Mus musculus: one gene and its partners. Each later gene encodes a partner of the first gene's protein in a complex. Links are inferred from orthologs where the notes say so. Each region holds a gene or a part of one and is shown in the gene's direction. Other genes may lie near its edges.

Region 1 (3,500 bases):
GTTACCGACATTGTAGCTCTGTCTTTACTCCCTGGTTTTTTCTTAAGGGAAACAGTTTAAAGCTTTTGGGGAACAGCTGTGGTCCAGTCTCACTGCCACTCCCGTTGCATCCTTCCTACTTACTCCATCACTTTGTCGTTCATCATCAAGTCTCTCTCTCTCTCAGTGTTTGTTATGTAATCATTTCAAAATATGCTGTATTCATTATAGCCTTTCATCTTGAAGTTGCTTTCAGTGATATTTTAATTAATTAGTTATTATCTTATTTTTGAGAGTGGATCTCAGTTTATAGCCCAGATCCAGGCTACTATCAAAACTGGCTCCTGCTTCATTCTTCCAGCTTGTACGGTTATAAATGTGTGTCAGCATGGCCTGTTTCTGTGGTATTTCTTAATCGGGAACTTAACACAAACTTTTTTCTCTTATGCCCCTTTAATAAGGAATATTTCTATAATTTCTGTCTCTTATGACATTATTGGGATTATAGGCATGAGCCACCATGGTAATAACAACCAGTTTATAATAAAGATTTAAAAAATTATGTGGCCAGTGATGAGAAAAAGATTGTTTCTACAACAGTGGCTAGGTTTCGCTTAATGTTACTGTAGCATGAATCTTCATTTTTACCCATGACAATTGAGATCTAGTGAAGAGCCTTTAACCGTCTTGACTTTATTCATTTTCCACAAACCTAAAATTGTTGTTGTTGTTGTTTTAATTGATGTAAACTGACACTACACGTACCACTCCCCATTCCAGAATGGGGCTTTAATAACTGCTTCCTTCTACGCGGATGCTCAGGGTTAGGAAGGAGACATGACCTCAAATAGACTTATCAGTGACTCCCCTCCCCCACCCCAGAGGTGCACACCAGCATGTACCTGAATCTGGATTAGTGCCGTTCCTTGTTGCCTGCCCAGGTCAATAGTCCTGTGCAGTTGGCCAAGGAACGAGGAGAGGGTAGAACTAAGACCCACGGAATGCTTAGTAGTGACAAGAAATAAAATTAAGGAATGGAAATCAACTACACAGAGAAACTATCTCAAACAAAGAAAAAGAATGCAAACACTTGAACAGGACCCCGCCTGTAGTAGTCTGGTGCTTTGTGAACAACTTTACATTTGGGAGACTTCTTTTTCCTTCACACTGACTTTGTGAGCCTCTACACTGTTGACTGACGTTGACTTCATAGACTACATCTAGAGCATTGGCTTCCTGTAGAGGATGAAAGAATCAGGTAGGTGCTTTTATTGCCCGTATCCTAGAGGACCACTGTCACTTCGCTTTTCTCAGTCCCCGAGATGCTCCTGGAACCAGTGTGGTTAGTAGTACTGGGAGTGGAAGTTTAGGCTGGAGTGAGGGCTTATGTTGTTTTAGTTTAGGTTTTGAAAACAAAGACTTTTTTTTTTAAGATTTATTTATTCTATGTATATGAGTACACTGTAGCTGTCTTCAGACACACCAGAAGAGGGCATCAGATCCCATTACAGGTGGTTGTGAGCCACCATGTGGTTGCTGGGAATTGAACTCAGGACCTCTGGAAAAGCAGTCAGTGCTCTTAACCTCTGAGCCATCTCTCCAGCCTGAAAGCAAAGATTTTTAATCATGAAGTGACTGTGTCATTTTCAGTTCATTATGTGGACTAATTTTTAAATTACCTTTTCTTTCTTTTTTTAAAGCTTAATACAGTTTTTTAGTAAAATGAAGAAATGGATGGACATGTCAAACCTACCACAAGAGTTTCGTGAGCGGATAGAAAGGCTAGAAAGAAATTTTGAAGTATCTACTGTAATTTTTAAAAAATTTGAGCCCATTTTTTTAGATATCTTTCAAAATCCATATGAAGAGCCACCAAAGTTGCCCCGGAGCCGAAAACAGAGGTAAGAAGACCCTTGATTCTCCTAGATCTGTGATGCAGGGTCATTAGGAGACTTTAATTTTAAAAGTCCGTATTTACCTTCGGCAGAGACTTAAATTTCTTACAATCACTTATATTTCAAAATAAGGGTGATACTTTAGTTATGTTTTTCTAATCTGATTGTTGCGTGCATCTTGCAACACTCCGTGGAGTGTGCTGAGCCGTCCGTATGGCGTCCCGAGTGGAATTGTACATGCGATTTGACCCTTTCGTTTATGTTTGCTCTCCATGCTTAGCAGGTTAGCCTGGCCAAATAAAACAATAAACAAAACCAAAGCATCTCTCCCTTCAGGAGGATCCCCTGCAGTGTTAAGGACCTCTTTAACTTCTGCTGGACACTCTTTGTTTACACCAAGGGTAAGTTACACTCTCCCCGCTTTCTACCCTGGGATTTGGTGATGGTTGACATGAGCGGGTTCTGGATCTTAACTTTTTTTCCTTATGAAGGGAATTTCCGTATGATTGGTGATGATTTAGTAAACTCCTATCATTTACTTCTGTGCTGCTTGGACCTGATCTTTGCCAATGCTATAATGTGCCCAAATAGACGAGACTTGTTAAATCCATCATTTAAAGGTAAGATGTTTATTTTTGAAAAGTAATTATTAACTTTTAGAAAAAGTATAAAAATTGACTGTTCTGTCCCTCCTGTTCCCTTCATGCTTTGTCTAACTAGGCTTACCATCTGATTTCCATGCTCCGGACTTCAAAGCCGCAGAAGAGCCTCCGTGCATCATTGCTGTACTTTGTGATCTGCATGACGGACTTCTAGTAGAAGCAAAAGGGATAAAGGAGCATTACTTTAAGCCATATATTTCAAAGCTCTTTGATAAGAAGGTACTAATAATTAAATGTTTAAGGGCCAGGAGCAGCCTGAAAGTAAAGAACCGTCTCAGCATTCTAGGACCCATGGTCAGATACCCCAGGTCTGGGGCTAGAGAGATGGCTCTGAAGGTAGGAGCACTTACTGCTCGTGCAGAAGACCCAGGTTCAATTCCCAGCACCCACATGGAAGCTCACAGCTTCAGGGGAGGGAGAGTCTATGTTTTTAAAGGTATGGTTCATGGTAGGTTAACCACACTCCGGTGGGTGACCCTGCTGGTATGCCCAAGTATCTGAGCAGCACAATTGGGGTCAAGTGGAGGGAGGTGGGTAGGTTTGGGAGAAATTAGGAGGGGATAAATAAAGTCAAAATAACGTTGATGCAGTTCTTAAAGAAGTAATAAAAATATTTTTTAACTTTTGAAAAATATTGCCATAGACTAACTTTGAAGTATTTTGAAAATTTGTCTTTAGGGCTGTGTAGCATAATGGTGATGTGCTCACTTAGCCTGAGTAAATCCCCAATTCAGTATCTAGGACCATTAAAACCAAAAATACCTAGATATTGGTATGGTCCTAGATATTGAATTGGGGATTTACTCAGGCTGAGTGAGCACACCACCATTATGTCCTTAGTGCCCAAACGTTACTTTCTGTTCTCGGAGTAGTGTCACTGTTTTAAAATTAAGTGTGTGTGTGTGTGTGTGTGTGTGTATGGTGTGTATATATATATATATATATATACATGTTAGCTAGGCAG
Region 2 (4,138 bases), about 5.9 Mb from region 1:
CTATAAACTCTAGAACTACAGTTTGGGGAAGTCAGTGCCTCAGTTTCTCCATCTGCTATCGGGTAATACAAGCATATAACTCATTGGGTTGTTATGAAGATCAAAGGTTTCTATGAACTGTTTTTGTAGGTGAGGAAGCAGGCATGGAGAAGTTTGATAATTTGAGATAATGGAACTAGGGAAAGGTAGGCTGGGAATCACCCCCGAGGAGATCTCACTGTAAAGCACACTAGCCGTGAAGAGCAGCGATCCACATGAACTCCTTTGAAGGGAGAGGGGTGGGGGGAAGCCTTGAATTAAGCCAGGTGAAAACTTGTAGCTTTCAAGTCTTCATCCTTCTGTAGTAAATGAAGTTTTCGGAGTTGTACTGTCTAAAAGGGGCCAGCAGTTTTTGGAAAGAGATCTGAGGCCTGAGCCTAAAGGGCATTTGGCTGGGGTTCTTCCAGGCTCCTATCCTTTCAGGGAGTCCCAGTAAGATGACACTCAGTTTTTAGGTAGTAAATGACAACCTGAAAGAGACAACCCTTGCCATCAGAAATTGAACGTAAGCCAACAAGCCTTCCCCCTGGGCTTAATACATTTCCTAGGAAAGGCTGCTGGGATCCCAGAATGCTCACAGTTCAGCAGAGGAAATGCGCACAAATGCAAGCAGATGGGCAGGAGACCCCAGTCGGGGAAGATGTGGGGAGTTCCTGGTCCAAATACGGCCCAAGCAAAAGCTGCAAGACTTAATTTCGCCTCTCTGTGTCTTGGCGTGGTGATCTGGAAGGCCGTTACTAAATGGAGTTACAAAGATTTAACCCGGACAGAAGAGAGGTTTAAGTTTGGTGAGAGAAATGTTGGGATTTTGAGCTGGGTCTCTCTGAGGCAGCTGAAGAAGCAAGAGGCTTGCAAAGGAAAAGATACAAACCCAGTCAAAGGGAGCATGGGGGCTCTAGGGATAGTGGCTTGGACCGTCCCAAGCAGTGACAATTTGGGCGGGAAGTTTCTCCTATTCAGTTCTTCCAGTCTTTGCTATGTGTGTGGCTCGGGGTCTATCTAAGATTCACACAGAGCCAGGCCTCGCGCCTCATTGAATCCCTAAGGTAGGTGTATCTGGACACAGTAGATTGCCAACTAACAGAGCATCTGCCCGCTTGCACATTCGGTTTCTGCCCTCCGGTAAACCACTCCCCTCTTCCCCATGCTTGGGCTCCGCCCCTACAGTAGGCCCCTCCTAGGGTTCTGGCGCGCGGGCTCCGCCCCTCGTGTCTTGTACGCTTCGCCCCTTCCGTATGCTCCGCCCCTGCGCTCGCGCGCCAGGGCCGGGCGGCGCCGACGCACTTGGCGGGAGATAGGAAAGTGGTTCTGTGCGCTCCCTAGGCAGCTGCAGTTCCTGGGAACGTGCGACCAGACCTGCAGACACGCTGACGCCTGAGAGCACCGCCTGGGGCCCGGAGCGGCTCGAGCAGCCTGAGTCCTGACCCCGGCCCGGCTCCCGCTCCGGGCTCGGCCGGCGGGCGTAAGGGTGCGGCGGGGTCCGGGCCGGGGGGATGTCTCGGCGGACGCGCTGGTGAGAGGCTGCGGGCGCGCTGGGGTCCTCTCCCTTCTCCTTGGGTCGGCAAGCGTGAGATGGGGATCCCCGGGAGAAATGCACCCTGCGCCGCCCGATGCAGGGGCGCGCGCCACGTTAAGAGGCTATCGGGACCCCCTCGCTCGGTTCCTGGGCCTCCTGGGCCCGGGAGTCTGAAAGCGCGGGTTCCCCCTCTAGACCGGGTCCCAGCCCTGGGTGAGGTCCATCATCTCCCGCCTAATTGCAGGGTGGGGAAGGAAGGCTGTCGCTCGCGGTGTCAGCTGGAGGCCCATTACTGGGTAGGGAGAATGTCTCCCCTTGTCGCAGCGAGTGGAAGGCAGAAGCCTGGGAGACACTTGTCGATCAAGAGTGGCTCGAATTTGCTGGCGTTCCTTTCTTGTTAGCATTCCGGGAAGCACAAAGCCCCTGGGCCCTCCGCGGGATGCGAGACGGGGAATTCGTTGTCTCATGGGGTTTCGGCGGCCGGTTCGGTTTGGTTTCAGAAGCCTTCTTCCTGTCCCACGCTAGTTTTGGGCAGTTGGGGATGAGTAAAGACTATTGGTGTGCAACGAGACTGCTCTGCTAGCAGCCTCTGAGCCAAAGGCAGGAACTGGGTTTCCCTCTTAGTTCCCTAGAGGTTAGGTGGCTGGGTCAAGTCTGGACTTTTGGGACACCTGTGTATCTGGGGCCTAATCGCGGGGCTTTCCAGCCTTTCTAAGGCGTGGGATAATTGGGTTCTGCTGTGTTCCTTCTGGGTCTTTCCAATTCAGAACGCCTTTCCACCGTCTTCAGATGGCCGAACCTGGCCTAGGATGAAGATAAGGCACAGAGATGCCTGCTTGCTTACTTGCAGAGTTCTTCGTGGCTGGGTTGGGTATTGGTTTGGTCTGTGGGTGCTGATCAGGGTGGCTTCCCATGCCCCGGTGTCTAGGACAGTTCAGTGCCCAGGAAGGGCATCTGGAAGTACTAATCCCAGAGCCCCGGGCTTATCTGAGGGTCTCTTTTGTGAAGTGTGGACTCTGTGCCCCTGCATCCTCACGAGCCTTTCTCTGCCACATGGTGTGACTCCCTGTACCCCAGTGGCCCACTTCCCTCTTGGCCTCTGACTCACCTTTCCCTGGAGCATAGCCCAGAACGTACAAGGGCAAGAGAAAGGGTATGTGTATATACAAAAGTGTGACTTTTCTTTAAACAGCACACTGGCCTCTGCTTTTCATGCTACGGTTCCTAGGGAGGTTAGGGTGTAAAAATGTGGAGCTTGGTGTGACATAATCGTTGTCGGCCTCACTTTTCCCGTCTGTTAAATGGAGCCCTTGAGAATGCGCAAGAAGGTGTGTGACTGATGGATACTCCCATCTGTTTAATAGTGTGACCATGCCGGGTAGCAGCAACACATGTCTTTAATCACAGCACTCAGGCAGGTGAATCTCTTCAGTATACAGGACAGCATGGTTTGCAGAGTGAGTTCCAGGGCAGCCAAGGCAACATAGAGATACCTATCTCAAAGGACCCCCGCCCTCCAAATACTGTCACTATTACACAGCACTGAGGCTTCAGGCTCTCTTACACAGAGCCTTTTCCCTAGGACACCGGCTGAGCTTCTAATAGAATCTGGGCCTCGTGCTGGGTTTTGGAGAAGCAAACTCAACTGATAATGTTTAGTAGATTTTGCCTCCTGCTTTACAATGGTAGGTGGGGCGTGCATTGGGTCAGCACTGACAATACAAATCTGCTTTCTGGATTCTGTGACGCGTATTGCTAGGCTTAGGAACTTCTTTTCGTTTTCGTCGGGATTTTTTTTTAGAATTGTTTCGTAGGCAGCATCTTTGCAAGTATCCATTCATTCACAAATCCACTCCTTCCCTGGGCAAATATTTCTTTAGGCCTTTTCTGTGCCAAATTCCAGGATGTGAAGTTGGAGCTGACCTTTGTGGGTGAAGTCAAGAGCAGAGGTTGGGGCTGAGGGCTGGACCTGGCTTTCCAGAGTGCTTGTATGTGTGTAGGAGTGACAGGGAGGGAGGCTGTGCTGAGTGTGAGGGAAGACAGGGAGGGCTGTGCAGACACCAACGCTGCACACTTGTGGGCACAAAGTGTGGCTCGTCTTGCTCGTTTGGAAATCTCTACTCTTCCCAGTTACATATGACTGACTAACCTTTCGTATTTGCTCGAGGTGACCGAGTGCAGGTCCCGGGGAAGGATTAACCAAGTTCTGTGAAAAACTGGTTGTTTGCCTTTCTCCCTTAGTTATGTATCTGTGGGTGGTTTTGTGCACTTGCGTGTAGGTGCCCACAGAGGCCAGAGTGGCTGGACCCTTCTGGAGCTGGGAGGTTGTGGGAAGGGTGCTGGAGGCTGAATTTAGGTCCTCATCAAGGGCAGTATGTTCCTTAGTGGAGCCAGCTCTCCAGTCCCTAACTAGCATTCATAGTGTGATCTCCTTCCTCAAACCATCAAACTAGGCAATAGGATTTTGATAGCAGGTAAAATATTCCATGTTAGCCAGGTGATAGTGGTGCGTGCCTTTAAACCCAGCAGGGAGGCAGAGACAGGCCGATCTCTGAGTCTACGATTGAGTTCCAGGATAGCTAC
Region 3 (4,166 bases), on another chromosome or scaffold:
GTTCACAGCAGCTTTATTCATAATAGCCGGAAACTGGAAACAACCTACATTCCCTCAATCGAACAATGGATTTAAAGATAAAATAAGTGGTACATTATCACAATGGAGTATTACTCGGTTGTTTAAAAAAAAAAATGACATCATGAAATATACTGGCAAATTGATGGAACTCAAAAACCTCATCCTGAGTGAAGTAACCCAAACTCAGAAAGATGAACATGGTACATACTCACTTATAAGTGGATCTTAGCTGTAAAGTAAACATAATGCTACAATCCCCAGACCCAGAAAGACTAAGTAACAAGACAGGCTAAAGAGGGTATCTCTCTGGAAAGGGTCAGTGGAATAGAATCTGCAGGTGGATTGGGGGGGCAGACGGGGATTTTAAGTGTTGCAGCTCTGAAGGAAAATGCTTCCCCTACAGAAGTTTTGCTCCAGACGCCTGGAAAAATTTTGGTTTAAAATTGTTTTCAGGATTTACTAGTTAATGCTGTCAGTTTCTCCTCGCGTTTTGTTTTTTTGTTTTTTTTTTTCCCTACTGTTAATTTGGGCATTCTTGCATGAAGGATATGTCTTCATTAATTCCTGCCAAATGATGTTTTTAGTCACCTACTACTTGTTAAGTGTGAAGGATATTCAACAGGTGCGAATACCAAGTTGTTTAAGATCTTGGGTTTTTTTTTGTTTTTGTTTTTTGTTTTTTGTAAACTTTTATTTATTTACATTCCAAATGTTACCCCCCCTTCCAGGTAGCCCCTCCAAAAGTTCTTCATCCCATACCCCCTTCCCTTTGCCTCTGAGAGGTTGCTCCCCACACTACCCCGACCCATCTTACCCACCCAAGGTGTTGAAGATTTTAATCCTGAGTCTCAAGTTTGCAAATAAAAAATGTGGGAGCACATTTCCTCCTCTTATATCTGTGATCTTACTATCGAGCCATAGTTTACGATGTCAATAAGTCAAAAGATGCTGCGATTGTCTCAATAATAGAATTATTGGGGAGCAAAAGAGTATAATTTTGTAAAGAACACTAAAGGCAGGTAAGGAAAGAGCTGGGGGTCTACTTCCTTCACCGTCAAGGCTCAGGTGCTTCTGTTTGCAGAAAAGGCTTTGGAAAAGACTGAAGGTCAGAGTCCCAAAACCTTCCGGGACGCGGCGTTCTCCTATTTACGCGAAGATGAGCCTTACAATACTTGCACCTGATCAGGGATGAGCGCTCCAGGCCGACCAAAAGCACGCTCCGCCTGAGGGAACCCGACTGCCCCGCCCCTCCGCGGAGAGTGCGTTACTAGGCAACGCCGCGCGGCGTCACTTCCTGCCATTTAAACTCGGGCCCACCCTCGCGGCGCTGGCCGCTCGTGTGAATCCGCGCGCTCTGTGGTGCCGTGCGCGAGCCGCGCGGCTCCGGGGACTGGTGGACGCGGGGCGCGCCGTGGGCGGGGAGCGGAGTCCGCGCACCTCCTCTGCCGGTGGCGGAGCGGCTCCTCGCCAGAGGACAGCAGGGCCGCGGCGGTGATGGCGGCGGCGGAGCCCACGAGCTCTGCTCAGCCCACGCCGCAGGCCCAGGCTCAGCCGCCGCCGCATGGGGCGCCATCCTCGCAGCCGTCCGCGGCGCTCGCGGGGGGCAGCAGCCGGCACGAGAAGAGCCTGGGCTTGCTTACCACCAAATTCGTGTCGTTGCTGCAGGAGGCGCAGGACGGCGTCCTGGATCTCAAAGCGGTGAGCGGGGATGGGGAGGGCGAGGCCCGCCCGAGGGTGCTGGGTCCACCACCCCCACTGCGCCGAGACTCCGGACCCGGAGGGGCCGGGATGGATGCGGGGGCCCCACCGACCGGCCACCGCGCGGCCCTGGCCACAAAGGAGCACCCGGAGCGAGCGCCCAGGAATTCGCGCTCTGCTCTGGACTCGCTTAAGGACCGACCGCTCTGCAGAACTTCATTCCTGTTTTGAAGAACTTTCATGCCAGTTCTTCGGAATGAAAGAGGAAAAGAGAAAACTTTCCACACCTCCTCTAAAGTAGTAGTTTTTAGAAGGGGACATTCTTCATCGAGAATTAAGAATTGGGAAGTAAGATTGGATTTGTTGGCTTAATTTAGAATCTTTCTACTTTCTAGACCTGAGATTTGCGGTCACACAGAGAGGGGTCATTTTGTGCCGTTCAGACTAAGTGGTGAAATTACTTAGTAAGCTTTATCTGGTTTTATAAGGATGTTTGCTTCGTTCTTTGCTATGGTTCGGATTTTTTTCAAACAACAACGTCCATTTAAAGCAGTTCAGTCATAGTGATTTAACCGTTCCTGGCAAAACTTGGAAGGATTCCACAACGCAGGGAAAGGGGAACAGTATGGGATCGTGCGAATTAAAATTCAGCTAGTACAAGGAGGTTCAGAAAGAGCCAATACTTCAAAAATAAACAAAATTGCTAGTTTACAGTCACAGCGAATAGCCTCTTATGACTCCTCACAGCTCCTGGCTTGAAGCTATTACCATCCTCAAGACCGTGGGTGGCCAAGGCATAGGAAATAGGAGTCTTAACAGGAGAAGCCTGCCTTCCAGAACTCTGCTGAGTGTCCTGTCCTGGCCCAGTGGGAGGCGCTGGCTTGTTGGCACTTGGATTCCCCCCTTTTCCTGGGTGTAGATGCCAGTTAGTGTCGGTTCATATTTGGAAATGTTACTCCTGGGACCTTTTTCCACTTTTATTCCCCCCACCCTACCCTCACCTCTTCTTTCCCTCCTCTAATGGGCATCTACAGTACTCAAATTGTATTGAATTCAAATGGTACGGTTTCCAGTTTCACTGGCGTTAATGAGGTCAGCAGAGAAACACCTGATGCTACAAAACACCCATTGAAATCTGCTGTTTAAAGTTAAATTCACCTGTAGTGGATGACTACATTAAAAAATTCAGAGAATTTCGGGGCTTTCCGGGTAAACGTGGGATTTGATGGTTTGTCCTGAAATATGCTCAAACCTCGGAAAATGATTTCTAGATTTAGTTGTTTGACTTACTTAACATGTATGACAGCAGGTTCTGGCATTGAATAGCAGAAGTCTGATATTCAAAAGTCTTTCTGTTATCTGGATCTATCCTAAAGATTCAAAGACTTCTGTAGTAATAAATAATTACTTAAAATAATAAGTAATGACTTACAGAGACCTGTATACCTTTCTTTTGGCTAGGTAGAAAAACATTTTACTTATGCATACTTTTTATGTTTATGAATACATATAAAACCATATGTATAAAAATGGCTTACACTGAAGTATTTATCCCTCGTGATGCTTCTTATAGTACATCATCGTGAGATATTAAGATATTCTAATAATACATGTTAAAAGATAGTCCTATTTACAATAAATTTCTAAGTGGAAATTTTAAAACGTGCACTTTATTTTTATAATAGAATCCTTCATTTTTGTGAAAATCATAAATATAGAAATATATTTTTTTCATTAAATACCCTGAGTGGTCATTAAATATTCACGACTGTAGAGGATAAGCCTAATATTCCCATCCAAATGTGTGCCCGACACACTAAACTTAGGTAAGTCCTGGCTTAGGTCTGCTAAGTGAGATCGGACATTTGAAACTGGACTGTTACTTTCTATGCTGTATTGCCTTTAAGAACTAGTAAGTTCTTGAAAATAAACTTAAGTTTTTATATATCTGTTTGTTATGGATCTCTTTTGTGTAAAGAAAAAAAAATGCATAATTTTACACCCTTAGAGTAAACTAACATGTTAGGTGATGGGCATCCATCTGGAAAGGAGAGAGAGCACTGGTGGCAGATTCTGTAGAAACAGATTAAACTAGTTTTTATTTTTCTGTAGCTTAATCACTGAACTGTTAAGGAGTGTGAGTGTCTGTTGCTCTGAAAATTCCTGTTCTGTACACTTTACAGGTGAGTTGCTATGTTTCATTGGCCATTCTAATGCCATCTTGAACTTTGCAGGGACAGTGTGGCTTGTGTATGTTGTGTTATTATTATTTAAGTTACAGATTATCTGAATGACACCTAAGTATTCTCTCCCAGAACTAGACACATACATAACAAATGACCTAAATGATAACCACTTAGAAGAGACATGATTCGGCCTTAGGCTTTTAGACGGTAACAAGGTTTTGGAGGTAATTGGCATGAGGAAGGATGTCTGGAGCTCTGCAG
Region 4 (4,219 bases), on another chromosome or scaffold:
AATGTGTTCAGAAGGCTCAGGGGGGGTTAGATTCTCTCAGAAGGCTAGGTTACTTTGTTACAACGTTTTACTTCCCGCCCACCTCCTCCCCCACTTACCCTGGGCCCAGAAGGGCCAGCACCCATGTGCTTCTCTTGCTCGCACTAGTCTTTCCCCTCACCTCTCGAAAGGTGGATTTTCCATCCTGCCCCTCCCTCCACCCCAGATTCAGCGGTACTCCCTACTGTCTATAAACTGGAGGCTGTAGCAGCAAACAGCTGGCTGCAAGGAGCCATTATAAGTTCTTTCCACTCATTAAGCAAGAGTGGAATTTTTGCCTGCATTTTACTGAGGAGAAGTTGAAGCACAAGTATTAAGCTTGCCTGGGACTGATACAAGTAGCAGCCCAAGTTGCACCCTTAACTTTCACAGCCTGCTGCCCTTTTCCTGAGCCTGAAGTCTTCCACTCTATTGCTCGCCCAAGAGTCTCATCTTGTCTTTCTCCAACCTGTGCCTCACATTCTTGAATGTGTTCTAGAAAAGAAATGAAAGCCTGCCCTTCGTACTACTTAAGACCTCGCTTTATTCTTTTTACCAAGCCCAACTTAGCCTGGGCTGGCCTGTCTAGATCTGCTCTCACCTCACTGAACCATCTTTAAACTTTTTAGTTTGTGGAAGTCACTCATCCACTCGTTTTTGTTTTGTTTTAAATTCTCCATTCGCCGACTACCCCCTCCTCATAAATCCCTGGAGAATAGACCCACCCCGGAGATCAACCACGCTTGTAAAAATAGTAGTTGAAAAGCCACCGTGGTTTAAATACTAGAAAGTGTTACAGATGGGAACCGTGAAATCTTTCCCGGCTTCTTTCAGCAAGGGAGGAATCCCCATCCAGTTTCATTACACTTGGCTAGTGTCACTTGTGTCTTCCCCAAGCATCCTTAGTCACTGTGAGGCTCCCAGCTCACTACCGGTCTCGGGTGGAGCGCATTAGAGAAAGAAAGCAGGACAGTTCACTAGCCCTCGGCCTACACCAACTTGGTGACCTCTCAAGGTCTCGTCCCGGCCGCTCGCAGCTCAGGTTCCGGCCCGGGCCGCCCGGACCCCGCGTCCGTGACCTGCAGGCGAAGCGGACGCCGCGGCCCGGGCACTCGGTGGGGGGGAAGGGCAGGGGCCGGGGCGCCGGAGAAACGCGATCTGGGGAGCCGAGTCCACGTTACTTTGGGCAGAGCCCCCTCCGTGCCAAGCGACCAGGAACCCAGGTCTCGTCCGCCGCGCCACCGGCCCGGGCCTGCGTCCCGCTCCCCTCGGGAACCGGCCTGCAGTTCCCGCAGCCGCAGCGCGGGCCGCGCGCCGGGAGCGAGCGCAGGCGAGGGGGGCGGCGCGGGCGGGCGCATCGGTGCTGGCGCCGCGCCCCCCGCGCTCGGCCCTACCGGGCCTCTCGGCGAGGCGTCCCCTGTCCTCCTCCGGGCCCGGCCCGGGGTGCGGGCGAGGCCCCGAGGCCCCCTCCCGCCGGGCTCGGGCGGAGCCGGACGGCCTGGCGGGAGCAGGCGCCGCGGGCCGCGAGCTCCTCATTCGAACCTCCCTCGCAGACAGTCTCCGCCCCACAATGCACCGGGGCGGGCAGCCTTTGAAAAAGCGGCGCGGCTCGTTCAAGATGGCGGAGCTCGACCAGTTGCCTGACGAGAGTAAGTAGCGTCTCAGAGCAGCCCTCCTTCCCGCCGGTTGCCCGTCCCGGGGTCGCACCGGCCGAGTCCGGTTGCCGGGCAGGTGGGATGGCCGCCAGCCCACCGCAGTCCCCGGCCTTCCTCCTCAGGCGCTGCCGCCGCGTCGCCGCCTTTGTTATGGTGTCTTGTGTGTCTGTTTCTGGGGTTGTGCGAGCGCCAGCGCCGGAAACCGAAAGCCCGGGAGTCCAGCCTGTCCTGACGGAGTCGGCGGCTGCTCTCCCGGAGCGACTGCTGTCGCCGGCCGGGGTGGGCGAAGAGCGGCCCCCCAGTTGCGGGCGCCGTCCTCCTCGCCCGCCCGGTTATGTAACTCGCCGGCCGGGGGCCGGGAGGGCTCGGGCTGGGCACCGGGGACACAGCCCCTCTTGGTGCCCCGGGCCTCCGATCTGATCCTCTGACGGCTCCTGCTTCTGCAGGCACTTGTGATCGCTCCCCCCGACCCCCCGCGTCCATCCTGGAAGTGTTTTCTTCCGTGTCACACAGGCTTGGCCCCTTCCCCTGGGACTACAGGTGGCCCTGGACCTTTCCGGAGATGATCCAGCCGGGATACAGTGCCGAGGTAGCCCCATTCCCAGTCTCCCTCCTGAGTGGATGTGTCTCTAGACTGTGGGGTGGGCATTACACACGGATGTGAGCACCGCAGCCCATATAAGTATGTTATTCTGCCTGACACCCACCCCTGTTCACTGCCTCACTTCTCCTTCTATACTCACAACCTCTGAGACGGATGTTCACCTGTCCGCAGACAGTAAAGCCAGCTACTCTGCGACCTAAGGACAAGGGAACAATTTTGTAATTTTCATATTGCACACATTATTAAAAGGCATTTTAGTTACAAAATGGTCTTGAAGCAACACGTACTCTGTGGTGTGTATTTGTAGCCCTTGGTCAACGAAAGGTTCGCAGGTGTGGTGGCGCACATCTTTAATCTCAGCACTCGGTAGGAAGAGGCAGGTGGATCTCCGAGTTCGAGGCCCACCCAGTCTACATACCAAGCTCCAGGACAGCCAAGGCTACACAGAGAAATCCTGTCTTGGAAAACAAACAAACAAACAAACCTCCAAACTGAGCAATCTGTATTTAGAACGATTGTATCATTTTTATGACAAATAAAGTAGTGGTTTTGTTTTTTAACCATTTGGTGTGCCCCAACAGGAAGTCAGGTCAGAGAAACCCGTTTCAAAAGCAAAGAAAAAACTCGAACTCTGTAAGATGTATCTGTGGGCAACGCAAATATGCCTTTAAAAGAGAGATAACTCTTAATTCTGTTTTCTTTGATATCGTGTATTTCTTATATTGTTAAGTCAGAAGTTCAGGTTGCCAGTATTCAGAATGTTTGTGTTTTAATTTTGATTTAGACCAGTGCTAAGTCTCAAAAGAACGTTCTCGATGGTGGATGGAGATGTCACTTTTCTAGTGTGCAGTGAGCAACCGGTAGTCACCTGTGACTAGATGGCTCAGGTGCTGCTCTTTTATTTCTATTTAATCTTGACTTATATTTAAATAGCTAGTGATTACTGTATTGATAAGGCATTATCTATAGAATATCCCTAAGTTTATCGTTCTTGTTTGGAGAATATGGTTGATTGATATTTACGATGCTTGAAAATATAGATAATTCAAGTAAGTAGAATGTTACCTGCCATCTGAAGAGATTTTTTTTCTTAAGCTGGGCACCGTGACGTGTGTTAACCTAACACATGTGAGCTAAGACAAAAGGCTAACTCTTAAGTTGGAGGCCAGCCTGGGCTGTACTGTAAAATGTTTCATCATCTGTAATGGGTACGCTCTGTGACTTCTCAGGGCTGTCTCACCTGCAGTCACACGGTTGTTGGTCAGCAGCCCACCAGAGCTGAGCCACTTAGGCTTTTCCTCATGCCTGTGGTGATGGTTAATTTTGATAGCTTGATTGCATTGAGAAATACCTAGGAGATCAGCAAAGCACACCTCTAGATGTGTCTGTGAGCATACCTTTAGGAGAAGGATTTTCTTACTTGTTCTTTGTACAAACTTAGGGTTTACATTGAGGTTCAGATATTAGCTACACTGTTACACTATGTATAACCTAATTGTTGATACTACCATGCAATGTCTCTGGGACTTGGGGAAGGGTGTGTGTGTGTCTTTTTTTAGCTAAACTACCGGTTTGTCAAAAGCAAGAATTGTAATTTTGATTTGTTAGCAATGACACAAATAGACTTAAAAATTTGACTAAAATGGAACTGAATTTGGAGTAATATTACTAATAAGATGGAGCATGATCTTGGAAAGAGAAAGTAATTTCAGTGTGATTTGAAAAAACACTAATTTTTTTGTATTTTTCCCCCCAGTTTAGTTAAGGGAGCTATGTAGTATATTAGCTAATAGCTCCTGTAACATCAATTATAAAAGTTATCATTTCCTGAGTATTTACTGTAACTAGGTGTATAAAAAAAGAAATACACATGCATGTACTCACGCACGCCTGCACTCACTCACGCACAGTCCCGTTTGCTTTCCGTACATTTGATCTTCAT
Region 5 (4,266 bases), on another chromosome or scaffold:
CACAACTCTAGAAAAACAAACAAAAATCCTCAACTGTTTACTCAACCATTTTCTAGTTTTGTGCATCACCAAAACTAAGCAGATTTTAAAAAGATAGACATGACTTAGTAAAACTACCAAAATACACTTCACAATCTTAACAAATTTTGAAAAAACAAAAACAACAAATATTAACTAGTTGATATGGCGTTAGTTCAGACGTACTCAACTGTGCAATTTACTGGGGTTAACATTTCACATTTTAATTTAGGGCATAAGCTGTTGCCCAATTGTTAAGTTTTGTGTCATTTAACAAGACAATGTGCTGACGACAGAATCCATGTCTATCTGGTCCAGAAAACCCTTTCATCTAAGAAACTGTCGTTCCTTCCTGAAGCATTAATACTTTCTTCGAAAAAATAGTATAGTATTCGCCTCATGCAGTGACAAGAGTCGCTTGTCTAAGGTCATAGTGGCAGCAGCGTCTGTCCTGGCAGGCACATTCCTCAGCATTCCGAAAGCCGGGGCTTCCACGTTTCCTCCAAGCTTCACAGTTGGAGGAAATAACTCTTCTTCCCCACGCAAGACGTTTCTAGAAACCACACCTCCTCCGTCTTTTACCAAGGTGGCTGCCACCTTGGGCCCCTGGTGTCTGCAGACCGCAACCCAGCTTCCGAAATGCAATGTCAAAGGGAGACAGAGCTATGCCGGGAGGAAGGGGGGGGGGTGTCAGTAAAATCCCGCCATCCCGAGTGAAGGGGCGCAAAGGGCCGCTTACTCACCTACACGTGCGCCCCCGACCTCGCCCCCTTCCTCCACGCCCCCCCAGCCACGCTCCGCCGCCGGCGGACAGCGGCTCCCATGGCCGCCCTCGCTTCCGGTGCTCCCAGCGCTGCGCCACCCCCGAGGCCACCCGACACCGGGAGCCTCCGACAGACCTCTCGGACGACTCCGTGACTCCTCCACCCTTCGCTAGGCGTTGTCCTGGAGGGAAGGGTAAGCCGGTGCCACACTGAAATAAACCTACCCGAGAGAGTCCGCGTCCTTCCCTCCAGACACAGAAAATGGGATAGAGCTGCGGGCTGCTGCTGCCGGGACAAAATGGCGCCGGGGAACCGGTTAGGCGCAGGCGCCTGGGGAAGAGCCGGCTCCGCCCCCGTGAAAAACCCTGGCTGCAGTTCTGGATTCCGTTTCCATGGGACACGCCACCGCCCAATCCTCGTGCGGAACTGCTCTTCCTGACCCCTTGTTCTCCAATCAGTGTTCAGTCAAGCACATCCGGAGTCGGCTCCTCCAATCAAATTTTTGGGCTCTCTTACTCAATCCTCTATCCTCCAATAACGTGCGTGTTCGGATACAGCCAATCAGAAGTGGAAGCTATCCTACCTGCTGTTTTCCGCACCAATCATGGAAGTTTCCCAGCTACATCCAATGAGAAAGGCAGACAGCGAGCTCCAATCCGAAGCTATTCGGCGTCATGAGCAGCCAATAGGAGTTCGTGTAGAAGCGAGTCTGCTCAACAGCTTGTTATTTGGTGGATTGTGGCAGTAAATCGGGGCGAGTGGGGGAACCCGGCGCAGGAACTGCCGCTGCGGCCGGGAGCGGTGCTGCCCGGACGGGGACCCACGGCGATCAGTGGGGCGGCAGACTGGAGAGCTGACAGCGCTCTGCACCCGCAGTAGGTAGGTAGTCAGCGGGGGCCGCTGAATGGGCAAAGCGGCGGGAGCAGCTGCTGCCGCGATGGGGTCCCGGTGCAGTTGGGAGCTCCGCAGGCTGAGAGGGGGATGCAGGGCGGGCTGTGCCCGGGGCGCCGGGCAGCGATCGGGTCCTGGAGTCGCGGCGGCAACTGCGGGCACGACCGCCTCCGCCGCCTCCCCGGGAAAATGGCTGTGGGGCTGGCCGCGCCGCTAAGTTTGCTTTGGAGGAGCGGGCTGCCGGGAGAACCGGCCCCCAACTCTGCTGTGCTTCTTTGGCGAGGACCCGCTGCTGGACCGCGGAGATCGGGGTGCCCGCGCCTCTCCGGGCTGTACAAAAAGTTGAGGCGGGCGCGGGAGGAGACGGCCGCTGCGGCGGTGCGGCTCGCTCCCCTCCCACACCCTGTCCTGCCGCCTCCCCGCCCCGCGCCTCCCCCGCCGGGTCCCCCCGCGCCGGCCGCCGCCGCAGGCCGCCGCCCCTGCCCCCCGGGTGAAGGAGCGCTTCTCCTTCCTGACATGGTGCAGAGCGGAGGCAGGAGAGCAATGGCGCCGTGACACTCCGTTGCCGCCGCCGCGGGCCGGGCCGGGGCGGGCCAAGGGGGCCGAGCGGCGGAGGCGGGGCGCGCGCTAGAGTCGGGGCCCGGCGGGGCGCGGACCCGGGAGGCCGGGGCGCAGGGGGCTGCGAGTGGCCGACGAGGCGGGGGCGCGGTGGGCCGGCCGGCCGGGCAGGGGCGGGACGCGCTGCCCTTTGGCGCGCGTGGGGCTCACTGCCCGCCAGGCTTTGGCTGCCCGACGGGGGTCTGTCCCGGGGGCCGCGGAGCTCGGCCCCTCCCCGCCTGCATTTGTTTACTTTCTTTCCGGGTCTCACCCCGCCTTGGACTGATCCTCTGCCTCTCTTTTCCCTGCTTTGGCTCTAGCGCCCGGGAAGAGAACTCGAGGAAGCTGGAACCCCACAGGTCACCAGTCAAGATGAAGGTAAGTGGAGCCAACTCTTCTTCTTAGCCTTGTGCCCCGGACGCTGCCAGTCCGGAGGCTGCAGTTGTGGAATGGCAGCTTTTTGTTACTTAGAATTGATTTCTTTACTAAGAAGCACTTTAAGGAAAATGACATGTGAATGGGTGAGGGGTGTGTGTGTGTGTGTGTGCGTGTTCGAATGTGTGTGTGTGTGTGTGTGTATAAATGCAGGCGGTCCAACACTCTCTAGCAGTTAGCACTTTGAGAAGATCGGTGCAGTCTTTCGATTTTCAAACACTTCAGTGTCAAAAACACCTTTCAAGAAGAAAAGCTTTTGTCCTGCTTTGGTTTTTGCAAGGTTTTTTTGTTTTGCTTTGCTTTTGCTTTCTTTAAAACCTATACTTCCCCCTTTCCACTACCAATGCCATTTTCTAAAAGACATGTTATGTAGCTTGAGTAAGAGAGATAGTTCTGTATATTTTTGGGGAAAGAAAGTAAACTAAGGTGATGACAATATTTAGATTGATTAGTTCAGTCTTCATAATATATATCTTAAAACGTGGATTCTATGTGTAGCTTTTGAAGCTTCCTAATCTTACAAACATCAGTGGCAGCCTGCTTGAAGGGAAAGAAAGCTTTCATAACATTCCTCAGAATTCGGTAGGATACTGTGGCTCTTGTTTGTTTCTGGTCAGATACTTACCAAAAAGTATTCCTCTTCATTTTTTATTCTTTTTAAGTAGACTGACATTTAAACGTGCATGATTAACGTTGTACTTAGTGTTCGGTGTGTGTGTGCGTGTGTGTAAATAGAAAATATATAGTTGTTTTTGTTTCGGTTATTTTGAAACAGTATACTTTACCCGGGCTAGCCTGGAACTCACGATGTAGACTCTCAAGGCTGACCTTGAACTCCCTTGACGTCCTCCTGCGTCTGCCCAAGTGCTGGCAGGATGAGCATGCTATACCATTGCCTGACTCGGTTTAAGTATATTACTTTCTGAAATTCTCAAACTTCCTCTTATATATTTTTTTTTATTTTGGAGTGACACAACTTCCTTTAATATAACTTGGGAAAATGAAAATTTGTTTCCTACTTAAAATATTTAAAGTTAACATTGATATCTTTGTACATATAATGTTGAATTGGTTGCATGATACATACAGCTTTTGAATTAGGTAACATCACAGACTGAAATAGCAGTTGTCTGTTACTCTCAAGATTAAAATGATGTATAAATGGAAGTTTCTTACATATTTCAATGTATAATTCTGATCATGACTATTTCCTGTAAATGGGTGTTTTCTTTCTTTTCTTTCTTTCTTTCTTTCTTTCTTTCTTTCTTTTTTTAATTGTTTTGTTTTCCATGATATCTCTATGTAACAGAGAACATGCTGGCATAGAATTTAAAGAGATCTTGTTGCCTCTGCCTCCACCTCCTACCATGCCCAGCTACTAATGTCTAAATAAAAATTATTTTAAGTATACTGAGATCAAAGCTGTAAACTAGAAAAGGCTGCAGCCTTTAGCTATCAGTTTTCATCTGTTGAACTTAGATTTAAACCTTTCATTTGCAACCTTCAGCCAAAGCAATTTTGGAAAGAGGTTTCTTAGTTTCTTGTGTCTAGAGATACATTG

What was found.
Region 2: Rbl1 (region 1) and Mybl2 share a complex: the UniProt entries of both Homo sapiens proteins name them as parts of the DREAM complex. The link is inferred for Mus musculus from reciprocal best matches to the Homo sapiens genes RBL1 and MYBL2.
Region 3: the proteins of Rbl1 (region 1) and E2f5 are in contact, whole or in part, in a crystal structure (PDB 5TUV), measured with the Homo sapiens proteins. The link is inferred for Mus musculus from reciprocal best matches to the Homo sapiens genes RBL1 and E2F5. Residues at the interface, in NP_002886.2 of Homo sapiens: Ser1000, Ala1001, Leu1002, Leu1003, Tyr1004, Lys1005, Phe1006, Asn1007, Ile1017, Met1020, Ile1021, Gly1024, Glu1025; in NP_001942.2 of Homo sapiens: Met162, Ile190, Ala192, Pro193, Ser194, Gly195, Thr196, Gln197, Leu198, Glu199, Val200, Pro201, Ile202, Pro203, Glu204, Met205, Tyr213, Leu217.
Region 4: Rbl1 (region 1) and Lin9 share a complex: the UniProt entries of both Homo sapiens proteins name them as parts of the DREAM complex. The link is inferred for Mus musculus from reciprocal best matches to the Homo sapiens genes RBL1 and LIN9.
Region 5: the proteins of Rbl1 (region 1) and Arid4a are in contact, whole or in part, in a crystal structure (PDB 7SMC), measured with the Homo sapiens proteins. The link is inferred for Mus musculus from reciprocal best matches to the Homo sapiens genes RBL1 and ARID4A. Residues at the interface, in NP_002886.2 of Homo sapiens: Tyr849, Ile850, Lys853, Val854, Thr860, Phe861, Gln862, Met865, Lys866, Arg869, Tyr879, Arg880, Asp929, Leu930, Ile931, Tyr934, Asn935, Val939, Ala946, Leu947; in NP_002883.3 of Homo sapiens: Leu957, Val958, Cys959, His960, Glu961, Val962, Asp963, Leu964, Asp965, Asp966, Leu967.

The regions. Positions count from the first base shown.
Region 1 is NC_000068.7:157,194,535-157,198,034, reverse strand, and holds part of Rbl1 (retinoblastoma-like protein 1), read left to right. Parts: intron 1-1,679; coding exon 1,680-1,880; intron 1,881-2,210; coding exon 2,211-2,275; intron 2,276-2,365; coding exon 2,366-2,494; intron 2,495-2,594; coding exon 2,595-2,755; intron 2,756-3,500. UniProt on the Homo sapiens protein: Key regulator of entry into cell division. Directly involved in heterochromatin formation by maintaining overall chromatin structure and, in particular, that of constitutive heterochromatin by stabilizing histone methylation.
Region 2 is NC_000068.7:163,053,297-163,057,434, forward strand, and holds the start of Mybl2 (myb-related protein B), read left to right. Parts: upstream 1-1,338; 5' UTR 1,339-1,532; coding exon 1,533-1,552; intron 1,553-4,138. UniProt on the Homo sapiens protein: Transcription factor involved in the regulation of cell survival, proliferation, and differentiation. Transactivates the expression of the CLU gene.
Region 3 is NC_000069.6:14,577,305-14,581,470, forward strand, and holds the start of E2f5 (transcription factor E2F5), read left to right. Parts: upstream 1-1,366; 5' UTR 1,367-1,515; coding exon 1,516-1,719; intron 1,720-3,831; exon of another isoform or gene 3,832-3,902; intron 3,903-4,166.
Region 4 is NC_000067.6:180,639,731-180,643,949, forward strand, and holds the start of Lin9 (protein lin-9 homolog), read left to right. Parts: upstream 1-1,419; 5' UTR 1,420-1,588; coding exon 1,589-1,667; intron 1,668-2,119; exon of another isoform or gene 2,120-2,262; intron 2,263-4,219. UniProt on the Homo sapiens protein: Acts as a tumor suppressor. Inhibits DNA synthesis. Its ability to inhibit oncogenic transformation is mediated through its association with RB1. Plays a role in the expression of genes required for the G1/S transition.
Region 5 is NC_000078.6:71,014,501-71,018,766, forward strand, and holds the start of Arid4a (AT-rich interactive domain-containing protein 4A), read left to right. Parts: upstream 1-1,466; 5' UTR 1,467-1,661; intron 1,662-2,369; exon of another isoform or gene 2,370-2,590; 5' UTR 2,591-2,642; coding exon 2,643-2,648; intron 2,649-4,266.